2 linked regions of the Kluyveromyces lactis genome follow. The protein of the gene in region 1 interacts with the protein of each later gene in a pairwise test. Links are inferred from orthologs where the notes say so. Each region holds a gene or a part of one and is shown on either strand. Other genes may lie near its edges.

Region 1 (7,415 bases):
TCCTGCTAAAACTAAAGGCTTTAAACTAGCATCTTTCCCCTCCCAAACGTAAACCAAATTGTATTTGTATTTAGTTTCATCAAGTTTCAAAGTCTTATGCACTGCAGGGTACGTCTTACGGAAATAGTCATGTAACACTGTGAAGTTTTCATATACCTTAGGAAATTCAATAGGATCTAGATGAGAATCATACGATTCAGTAGGAATTCTAACGGATCCTAATAGTTTCTCAACGGCATCGCTACGATATTCGACATCGTGTGTGATCATTTCCAAGGTCGAGTTATCATTGATGTATGAAGGCGGTTTCAAATTTGGTGCGTTTGGACACAATGGTTCACTTGCAGTCTGATTATCTTTCAAGGTCCTTGACCATCTGGATAAATGCAAACCACATAAAAACAACAAAACTGTCACCACAGCCAAGGCCTTTAGCCTTAAATTAGAAATATGAACGTCACGATTCTCCTTAATACCCATTGTTTACTCGATAAAAACCAGTCGCTCTTTCTACGATACCGTTTACAACGTCAAAGCTTCAAATTCTGAGTCTTCTCTCTCTTTGCTGTAATAATAGCACAAACCTCATTAAGGATATTTAATTTATACTAGCTGTACATAAATATATCTGGTCGAAACTCAAAGGTTCTGCATTGCCAAAAGGGTTATATAAAAGAGGACGTGGGGTATAATATAATAGAATATAATAGTCTTGATTAGTTTGTAAAATATAACGTACAGAGCCAGCCATACAGAGTTCTTGAATATTTTAAAGCTTGGTGTTTCTCCTGCTGCTTAGTCGATATCATAGTTTGCATCGTATCCTTATCTATTATCCATACATAGTGATAGAGGCCGAGGGAAAAAGCAACAAACTAGCTTCTTGGAACCACTTGGTTGCATAAATGACATTTAAGAATGGTCTTGGCAGTGAAAAAAAAAAAAGCACAAACAAACGCAGAAGTTGCTTCTGGTTTCAGGTAGAGAGACCTTTCAAACCTTTGACGGAGGTTTCTGTGTCGACAGTTGTATTTGACTCATCACCGACACCGTTGTACTTCTTCAATTTTTCAATGGTCAATGAACCCAAATCTGACCCTGTAGTCAAGATAGCTCTAGGAACGGATTCAGTTTCCTTGAAGTTCGTGTCGTATTTATCGGAAACAGTCTTGTAGGCAGTTGAATATGTTTCCTTTGCCGTGGAAATGGCTTGTTCATAACCATCCTTAGCTGGCTTCACCAGATTATCATACCTGGCAACAAATTTCTCTTTAGTAGGCTCCAATACATCCTTGGTAGTGTTTCCCAACTCCTTGAAATGGGGCAAGTCAACAGATTTCCCACTAGAAGATGGATGCGTCTCATCCTTGATTAAAGACAAGGGTCTCAAAATCAATTCTTTCACTGTATAGTTCACCACATTAGCAGTATAGTCTACTACGAAATATGCCACCCATACACCTAACTTCCCATGGTCATGGTATTCTTCAACGAACGTATCAATACCTTCTCTGAACACCAAGGTGTTGATGAATTCGTCCAACTTCTTGACAATGGCAACTGATCTGTTGAACGATCTTTTCACGAACGTTGGGGTCTTTGGAGACTCGATGACTTTGATCCTGAACTGGAACAAAATTAGGGAAATGGTAGAAATTATATTTGACACCAAAGACAAGCTCAACAAGGCATTAAGCCACTTTATCAACGTCGGATACTTGTTCAAATGATTGATAGTAGCATACTGTGTAGCAAATTTATCAGTAGATGGTTTATCAACAACAAGTCTAACTGAAGAAGAGGAGCGGGACCTTTGCTTTTTAACTGGGCCTGTCATTTTTAAAGGATCTTTGTACTGTATTTGGTTCTAATGGATAAAAACGATAGATTTCCCTGGTTTACAACAACTGCACAACTCTATTTCGCCTTTAAAAGTACTTTGCAGTTCTACAAACTTAATAAACTGATATAAATATATATTTATATGTAATAGGTTCGTATCCCTTTGAAACTCAAAGCAATGCCTTTTATTTATAGTCAGTCTCTAAAACATTATCACAAGTTTTCCTTAATTTGAATTCAATGCAGAAAAAGAGGCAGAGATAGAAACCAAAACGAAACTGAAGGATACAGTGGGCTAACGTAGTTGGTGTTTCAACTGCGATTAACATTGCCATGTTAATCCGGAAGGAATATGTAGATCAGATATGTTTCTAGATCCACGGATTATTTCGTGCCTTGCCAGTAGTCTTGTCACCATTCCTTGCTATTACCCAAAAAGTAAGCAATAAACAGACTTGCTCCCTATGTACTTTCATTCGTAATCTGCTCGTAGTTCTTTTTGCTATACACTTTTGCTGTCTTTAGGGCTCTTAGTTGTGCCTTTTCAGCCCATTTTTCTTACTGGTAACGGGGCCTTCAGGGGTTCAGACCGTTAGACCGTTACTTCCGTTTGACTTTGACACCACATGATGTGCATGTCCAGACCTTATGGCCATATATTTCCACCTGCTTAAAATAAGAACAGGTGGAAAACCGCGCACAAATTGTATGCATGCCAGGCACCGTCCGTATCTGGAACATGCGTTGAGTAGATTGATGCAAGGCCACAGCTTAGGGTGATGTTTAGATAGAGAGTAAATACTTTTGATAACCACTGCTTACTATATATCGGTGGATGTGAAAAAAAAAATCTCTTTCAGGATTGCTCGCATTCTGGAGGTTGGACTTTCTTCAGAGCATCTTTATTAGCGAAGTCGTCCTCTTCTTCCTCTTCTTCACCGTCCTGATCGTCAAATTCATCGTCGTCTTCTTCTTGTTCATCGCCGTATTCTAATTCTAGTGCTGCACCGGTGAACCAATCCACTGCCCTTGGAATCAACTTGTCCTTGATCTCTTCACCGATAGCATAATCTACAGCCAATCTACTCTCAAGTTCAGCGATTTCTTCTTCGTCAAGATCGTCTTCTTCTTCGGGATCCAGAGACTTTGGTGGGTCAAAGAAGTTGAAGAACGATTCCACTGGTGTCAGCTTTTCAATGGTACGAATTTGTTTAGTAGTCTTGTTCTTTTGTTTTCGTCTTTTCACTTCGACTGTAACGTTATGGTCATTATCGACCCAGTTAATGGTTTCACCCTCTGCATGGTCATAGATGAAGTCGCCAGAGTAACCCAATTCGGACTGGTAGTAGTATGTCTTTGTTAAAGTTTCGTTAGTGAAGAATTCGTTCTCTTTATCGAAGGTGAAAATCAATTGGAAGCCTGGTTTACCCTCAGTTAGATACTCTAGAGTGATGTTCGTCAAGTATGTCAATACATCACAGTCAGCTTCTGTCACGTTTTGAGAAACCATTGGTAAGTTCTCCATGGCTGTCAACCAGAAACAAGGGACACCAACGATCTCTTCCTCACCTTCCTCCGGTTCCTGGTCATGCTCTTCTTCTTCATGCTCATCTTCACCATCCAAAGATCCCCCGCGTTTGATTTCTTCTTCAGTGGCTTCCTTATCACCTGTGATCAACTCGTAACGGTGTTCGTGTAATGGTTTGTATTTCTGCAGATATTTTTGTTCAAGTTCCAACATTTCAAGCTGGAAATTCTTCTCCAATTCGAACAAATCGGACTGAATAGCCTTTAAGGCTAAGATCCTATTGTTCACAGCTTTTGGGAGTCTTTCGAAAGCTTCTTCATCGCCTTCTTCCTCTTCCTCTTCTTCTTCTTCTTCACCCTCATCTTCTTCGTCTATGTTCAAGAACTCCAACTTTTCATTGATCCGGGATAAAGATGGACTCTCGTTGTATTCGCTATCGTCATCCTGATCTTGATCCTGGTCAGACTGCTGCTGTTGCTTCTTCCTTAAATATGAATCCTTAAGCACGCTAGCTGGTGTGTTATGAGGCGTTGGTGCATTATCGATCTTACTCGACCTCGATGTCTTGATAGGGTTGGACATTTTTATGATGTGATCCTTACTATTTTGCCAAATACACTCAAATGTATACAGCTAATGTAGTTCAAATATCCTGCTGCAACACTCCAAGTATCACAAATAGCCCACTACCTCTACGATCAGATGTTCCAAGCTGTTACGTTTCCTACTGAAAGAAAATTTTCTGGCTAAAAAATGCTCTTCTTATATATTCCTTACATATTAAAATAGATCACGGAAGCATGCAAATACTGCAACCGTATGCCAATTCAAAGGACTAAATCGTACCAATTCCTGGTAAAAAAACTCGGAATAAAGCACTCCTGATATCAACGGTACATTATATAATGAATCTTGAGCTGTAAAATACTCTGAAGTAATCCTGATCCCCTCTTCTTTCTCTCAATAGTCGCTTTCTTTGGATATCAGAATTTCAGTTTTATAAAGAATGCAATAAAATTAGAAAAAGCAGCAGGGAATTCTTTTCAAACAAGAACCAACTACCCAATTAACGGTCTGCTCTGCTCATTATAGAATACGATTTACCATTACCTGTTCGAGTTTAAGGTCAGCAGTTTACAAAACTATAATAAGTTTCAATTTTAACATGGTTCGTGCTATTATTGCCCCATCTATTCTAGCCAGTGATTTCACTAAATTAGGTTGTGAATGTCACAATGTGATTAACTCTGGTGCCGATTGGTTACACATCGATATTATGGATGGTCACTTCGTTCCTAATATGTCATTGGGACAACCGGTTGTCGAATCGCTACGTAAAGTTATCGGAAAGTACAACGATCCAGACACCAAGTTACCAAGAGCATTCTTCGATTGTCATATGATGGTTAGTGAACCTGAAAGATGGGTCGAAGATTTTGCTAGGATCGGTTGCGATCAGTTCACATTCCATTACGAGGCTACAAAGGACCCGGTAGCGTTGGTTAAGCTAATTAAGAAGCATGGTATGAAGGCTGCCTGTTCTGTGAAGCCAGGTACCCCTGTGGATGTGTTGTACGAGTTGGCACCATCCCTGGATATGGCTCTTGTAATGACTGTCGAACCGGGTTTCGGTGGCCAAAAATTCATGGCCGATATGATGAGCAAAGTGAAGGACTTGAGAACTAGATTTCCTAATTTGAACATTCAAGTCGATGGTGGTCTTGGTAAACAGAATGTCGAACTTGCTGCCGAGGCAGGTGCCAATGTCATTGTTGCCGGTACCTCTGTGTTCCGCGCGCACGACCCAGCAGATGTCATTGGATTTATGAAAACCAAGGTCAATGATGCATTAGTGACCAAAGGTTTATACGAAAAGTAGTAAGTACCTAAGTACATATACGCACTCTTTTTTATGTCAGAATAATATTTAATGAACGATCCGTTTAAGATCTATCCTAGTATACAAAATGTTTATATAGACAATGCAAACCCCATTTAACGATTTTTAAGACTCTCTACAAGAAATACTGACCACCTAGAGTTGTACCAGAACCTGTCTGAAGGGATAAACCTTGAGATTGAATATCTTCCAACACCGTGGAAATAGCCTCTCTCATCTTTTCCAATTGTCCTTTCTTGGTTTCCTTCTCCTTCTTCACAACAGGCGCATCAATCTGCATACCACCGTTTTCCTCACTTTGAGATTGTAGATCAACTAATAGTTTTCTTTGTTCCACGTATTTCAAGTTACGTTCGATCTTCTTTGCTCTTTTCTTCGAAAGAGTCTTGGTCGTAAGAGCACCAGAGGTCGAATGCTCGCCTTTGTAAAGATCCAATGGTATACTCTTCAACTGACCAGATTTAGATGTTCCTGAAGATCTTGCTGGTGCCAATAAACCCTTCTTTTCCATAGCATCTCTCTTGGCAGCACGTTGATGAACCTTACGGTTCAAGTTAACCTTTTGCTTTGGCCTGTTAATGGAGTTCTTAGATGGCATCTCGAATTTTAGTACTGTGATTAACCGTTAACTTGTAGTTCCAGGAATACTAGCCAGTACTAAGAGTAACAAGTAACAAGATAGCTAGCACAGGTGAATAGTAACGGGGGATCAAGTACATGGTATGGAGATGCATTAACTTTTCAACAGATTCGCGATGAGATGAGATGAAAAATTTTAGAAAAGAAACGGCAGTACAAAATAGATACGGTATTAGTTAATGAAAAATGCTAAGATTTAAGCCAAGACATGCCGACATTGGTACTGGAGAGCACCATCTATGGAAGGGGTAAGAATAGGTGGTGATAAAGGCCACGGTGCTCATTACATTTCGGCTAACTGCTCACTTTATGTATACCAGCGTTATTTCATGGTAATGAAAGTGACATAGTTACCCGGATATTTAAATACGACCCACCCTTAGAATGGACCAATACATGAAAAAAACACACGGTAGTTGGAACCATGACAATAGAGAAAGGATAGAAACTATATACTTGTGTTCACAAGGATTAGGAGGCTAGTTTAAGTTCAACCGTTGGAGTTTTGTCTTGCCTTTCAGCGATAATTTTCTAGTTTGAATATATCGATTCTTGATTGAACAATTCGTATCAATATTCAAGTTTTATCGACAGTAAAGACTTAAAAAGAAAACACCAAATGACTAGTGATGCCGATGATGTGCTAGAGTTTTTAGACTCTTTACCAGCCAGTACTGCTAATAACACTAAGGGAAAGGGTAAGGTTAGTGGGAACGGCGGCCAGGATGAGGATATTATGGAATTCTTAGACGAATTGGAAAATAGTAACCTGGATATTAAGAAGAAACCGTCCAAAAAGGACAAGCCACAATCCTCTAAGAAGCAAGAGAAAGAGAAACCGGAGGAGAAGCCAGAATCGAACGAGAAACCTGTAGAAGAGACAGCCAGTAAAGAGAAACCGAGTGAACAGAAAGGAAAAGAAGAACATGTGGCAGAAGAAGGTGAAGAGGCAGTTCAGGACCCACTGGCGTCAATTTCCAATTGGTGGTCATCTAGCGGTTCTGCTACAGTATCCAGTTTCTGGAACAAGACCACAGAACAAGCCAATCAATTGAAAGAGAAGATAGCTACTCAAGAGGGCAACTTGAAAATAAACGACATAGGGGCCAGATTAACGGCATTGCAGGGGTCTCATGTCATTTCTGGGCTTACTTCACAATTGACTAAGATTGTCATTGGTGAAACGGATGAAGTGATCAGAATTCATTTGGTTCATGATTTACACAATTTGAACGAGGAAACGATTACGTATCAGGTGGAAGACCAATTCGAAAGATTACTATCGCAACAGGTGCAAGGTGGAATAAGAATATTTGCTGATGAATGGGATCACGGCAGGAAAGTGGATGATAACGTTAACTTGAACCTTTTCCAAGGTAAAGCCGTTGACGGTGAAAAATTATGCTTGGCCAACCTTGACAATGCAATCAAGACGTGGGAGACTGCTAAGAAACAATCGAGAAGAACCAGTAACCCAGTGAGTAAAGTAAGCGATCTTTTTGTCAG
Region 2 (4,719 bases), on another chromosome or scaffold:
CACCGGTTGCGGTTCTACTCTGGGTATCATATTCGGTATTGTTACTGGACGAGAGTTTACTATTTTGGTAGTATCTAATGACGCTATTAGCTGTGGGAGTAGTTCATGAAGTAAAATATCAGGTATTATATTATTTTCAATTTTAACTCTATCATTCCAAAGTAAGATTTGGTTTTTACTCTTGTAGTTGAATCTACAGTACGAGTTTTTGAAGTTTTCGATCATACATCCTAAAATTAACGTACAATCTGCATTATTCATATATTCTCGAACAATGGGCTGTGACATGGTACCTAAGAAAGTCCCAACAAAGTTGGGTAAGCTTTCGTCAATAGAACCTTTTGACATTAAGGTTGTCACAAATGGTATTCCTGTTTCCGTTAGGAAATTTTGTATTGTGCTGTTGTAATTATATCTATCAATTAATGCATCAACCACGATCAATGGCCTTGATGAAGCGTAAACTTCGGCAATGATTTTGTCTATAACCCTCTTTATTGTGTCCGTTTGAAAGAAAGTGTTCTTTATGCCCATCTTATCTGCTATGTTTCCGTTTAGAGAACTACTGGGGACAAGTTTCGTGGCATCCTTCGATCGGAGGCCCATATAAACAGGGCGTTTCCCCCAAAAAAGCGTTCGTACACAACTGTCTATCTCAGAAGGATCATCCACTACGTCATGAAAGATTGAAACATCTCCAATCAACCTCTCAAGATCATGAGACTGTTCCAAGACGACTACCTGTAAGATGGGAACATATTCACAAAATGATCCAAAAAAACCATTAACATGGCCTAATTCTGCAGATTCGCTAGTGACGTAGCAGCTCACTCCGATAGCTCTCCCGTATGCATCTACTGCAAATGATGTGTTCAATTGATTTATCGTTTGGATCCACTGTATCCCGCTGGCTGCTATGGCTTGATATAGTTTCGCAGTTGAATAATTGGCAACTCCAAACACAGTACGGCAGTTGAGCTGAAATAATCTATGAAAAAGATACTCAGGCAAAGGTATTAGCGGTGCGACATTATACCTCTCAGTATAGCTCATCTCCTTAGCAGCCCCTGAGTGTATCAGGGTCTTGGTTTCCATCTTTTTGTCCGTCCCAGTATATTCCTGTTAAACTTTTAATTCGACTTCTCTTCAAGGAAAATCAATTTTGTCAAGTTAGTTCTTGTACAGGAAAATGTGACAAAGAAAATGCAAAGTTACACGATGGACAAAAGGTAACAGTAGTTTTTAAGTACTCAATCGCACGCACGTCATGTGGCTCTTAATAGGTGAGTATTGATATTATTATGAACTGACAAGGTGAAATCCGGTATGAAAAAGGTAGGACGGAAGCTAGAAAGAAAAGTATTGCTATAAAAGGAAGAATTATGATGTCCAAGTGCCCTTTTCCTAGTGAGGAATAGGGAATGCTTAACATAAATAAAAAGAATCCACTGCCCAATATGAACACTATTAGGGACAGGATAGAACTATAGGTTTTCCGAAAGACATTGAAATGAACTTTAAAATTGAAGAGAAATATGATATGCAAAGGGGGGGAGCGTAGGATAGCATTGAACAACGGTGTTGCCTGCAACAAGTAGGCATATGAGAAGTAACTATTTGTATGCACATTAATTTCGTGTATTAATTTCATTTTCTTTGGATGTGCTGGGTAGAACGTTACATTAATGCATTTGTATTTGCATATTTCCTTCTCTCAACTAGTCTTTTTTTTTGTTTTTAGTTTTCCTTTTGTCTTGTCGGTTCTATATCAGTTTGCCAGTCAATCTATATATATCGTTAGATGACAACCCTTGTAATTCACTTTCCTCAAAATGTAGCAATGGTAAAGAATCGATCAACGAAAGGTTTGAGTCCGACCCGGTGTTGCTGACGATATCAGTGAAGTACGTCGAATTGAACATACATTGTAAAGCGCTGTATCTGATATTAGGATCATATTTCATGATATGGTATAATAAGTCTATAGTTTCCTGTGTTTCCTTCTTGAAGATCCTATTCAATGGGATCGGTCTGATCTGAGGGAACTTATGTTCGGAGTAGTTTTCATTCATGGAACAGATCTCTTCCCTGGTTGGTGTACCCAAAACTTTAATAATTTCAACCAATTGATCGATCTTAGATTCACCAGGGAAAATGGGTTGTCCTAATAGCAGTTCAGCCATAACACAACCTGCAGACCAAATATCAATCTTTGTTGTGTAATTGGTAGCACCAAAGATCAACTCTGGGGCTCTGTAGTAACGGGAGCAAATATATGACACATTGGGCTCGTTTGGTTTCAACTGTTTAGCAGACCCCAAATCACAGATTTTCAACAGTAAAGTATCTGGATCCACCAAAATATTCTGTGGTTTGATGTCTCTATGGCAGACATTGACCACTTGATGCAAATAGTTTAAAGATTTGAACAATTGGAACATGTAAATCTTGATTTCGTAACGATCCATTGGTTGATGCAAGGAAATGAACTCTTTGAGCCGTTGATAAAGAGACATGGGCATGTAATCTACAATCAAATTTAGATAAAGTTCTTGGTCCGATTGTTCAAGGAAATAGTACTTCAAATCGATCAAATTCGGATGACTGATCAATTTCATGATCTCCAGTTCTCTATTCTTAAACCGTCTATCCTGTAGAACCTTCTTAATGACAACATCCTCCCCAGTCTCTTTCACTTTTGTTCTGAAAACGACACCAAACGAACCATTTCCCACAATTTCAGGTGTGCCGCATGAAATAACAACTGACTCCTCGGGGTTGGAATGGCCTTTCACCACAGTCCTTCGGGTTATTACTTCGTCTTCATCTGGAACGATTTTAACATCATTACCATGACTGTTCTTACTATGAAGACTGCCTTGTTTTAAATCATCACTGGGTAAAATGGAATCCATCTCTGTCTCAAAACCAGCGTTTTTATCGTTAGTATATGCAATAATAGATCTTGAACCACCGGCACCGCTACTTTCGAGCAATTCACCAACTTTCATTCAAAAAAAAAAAGGAGTATTGTACTAAAACTATGCTGACATGCACACTTTTCTCTGAATCCTTTCTCTCTCACAACAGATAAGAAGTGATTGATCTGTCTGTGTGTGTTAATTGTTATATGCGAAGTCTTGTTCTTGGTGTTCTTTTTTTTTTACCTTAAATTTCACCAAATTTTCCAAAAACTTCAAACACGCAACGTCTTCTAAGACCAGTAAAATAAAATATTCAGCACACGCACTCACAAACACACGCGCACACCGATTCAAAATATTATGCGGGGGGGAGAGAATCAGGTTAAAAACAACAGTTTTATCGTCTTTCTTGTCTGGCTCAATGAAAAATTTTCCAATGTCCTCATGTCTTTCTCAAAGTTTTATTCAGACAATAAATACTAAGCGGAAAGAGTAAACTAAAACTGCTTGCAAATTGCTTTGTTAGTCCAGACATTTATTGTATCGAATCAGCTTACTGGAAAATTGAAGGAGAGAGAAATCGAAATAGTTTTTTTTTTTTTGCCTGAAAGCATGACTGGGTTGAGAGCCTTCCCTTGTATATGCGTAGAAAGCAAGAAAAGTGTTTTGTCTGACAGAATAATCTAGGAACTGACTAGCCAGACTACTGAACAGTTTGCCCCTTCGTAGTATTACTTAATAGGAAGAAGATTGCTTGTTCAAATAGTATAGTTTTTCCTGGAACCGGATGCCAGGGAAAAGTGGAAGTTCGTGAGTACTTCTCCGTTAGTCCGATCACATCCAGGAAACCAAGCAGGGAAGCCACTCAGGGGCCACCTAGGCAGGGATCAAGGACAAATGGAGCAAAGGGTGCCGATAGGGAAAGGGGGTCGGAAAAAAAGTTCCAAATTGAAAATTGTATACATACTTGTTACCCGACGTGATGGGGCGGCGTTATTGCCGGTAATTTGTTTGTGGGGCGGAACGGTAGACGAAGCTTTGGATGTCACGTGTTTAGCATTTTTGTCAGAGGAAGCCGTTGTTGTCGATGAAGACGACGGTGATGAAATGTCAGACGCAACGATGGATTCCATCGCTACATCATGTACCAATTTCAGTTCGTCTTCCAAACTGAGCTGTTTCACAACGAGCTCGACATCGAGCTCTTCTGTGTATCTGTCATGACAAGGTAGTGCACCGGCAGCTTTATCCTTGCTCTTGCTCTTGGCCTTGCCGTTCTGTCCAGTTTTCTTGTCGACAACAACTGGTACTTCGGCTACCACTTGTGGACCAGACTTGCGTCTGGTCCACGTGATGCCCTCAGGATTGTATGTTGGATGAATCTTATCTCTAATCTTTTTGAACATCTTTCGTCTGTATTGCTGGTGGTTACGACTGGTCGGGGTATGGCTTTTCTCGTTCTTGGTGAAGTCATCTAAACGATGGAGTTTATCAACCTCTGGTGTTATATACGCGTGAATTATTTACACAAATTTTTCATCACTACTGTAAATTCATTTATCAGACACAAATGTCGTGCAAGTAATATGTCAACTGTGGTTTGTGCTGCTTGCTTCTCGTAATCGCTTTCCACTCTGTGCATTAAGGTTCTTAAGAAATGAAAAAAAAAGCTGGAGATATGGGGGAGAATGTCCAATGTCCCTCTGTTACCCGGCCAGCTGACGCAATCAGGCGCAAAGTCATCCGGTGAGTAAAACGTAGGTTTCTAGCCAGGTCGAATCTAGATTATTCAAAT

Evidence for each region.
Region 2: the proteins of NAP1 (region 1) and KLLA0_F17006g interact in binary tests that used the Saccharomyces cerevisiae proteins (3 or more experiments, as listed by UniProt). The link is inferred for Kluyveromyces lactis from reciprocal best matches to the Saccharomyces cerevisiae genes NAP1 and RIM11.

Annotation. Positions count from the first base shown.
Region 1 is NC_006041.1:1,340,545-1,347,959, forward strand, and holds NAP1 (histone chaperone NAP1), read right to left. Parts: upstream 3,953-7,415; coding exon 2,699-3,952; downstream 1-2,698. Other genes in the region: KLLA0_E15005g (M20 family metallopeptidase), read right to left, coding at 1-480; PLN1 (Pln1p), read right to left, coding at 977-1,837; ribulose-phosphate 3-epimerase RPE1, read left to right, coding at 4,536-5,249; ALB1 (Alb1p), read right to left, coding at 5,386-5,868; DUF5427 domain-containing protein MTC1, read left to right, coding at 6,529-7,415. UniProt on the Saccharomyces cerevisiae protein: Acidic protein, which assembles histones into an octamer (in vitro). Involved in the regulation of the localization and the function of the septins during mitosis. Involved in the function of B-type cyclins.
Region 2 is NC_006042.1:1,560,096-1,564,814, forward strand, and holds KLLA0_F17006g (serine/threonine protein kinase RIM11), read right to left. Parts: upstream 3,012-4,719; coding exon 1,764-3,011; downstream 1-1,763. Other genes in the region: KLLA0_F16962g (uncharacterized protein), read right to left, coding at 1-1,095; KLLA0_F17028g (uncharacterized protein), read right to left, coding at 3,812-4,330. UniProt on the Saccharomyces cerevisiae protein: Serine/threonine protein kinase that is thought to function in regulating kinetochore activity and entry into meiosis. Could phosphorylate IME1.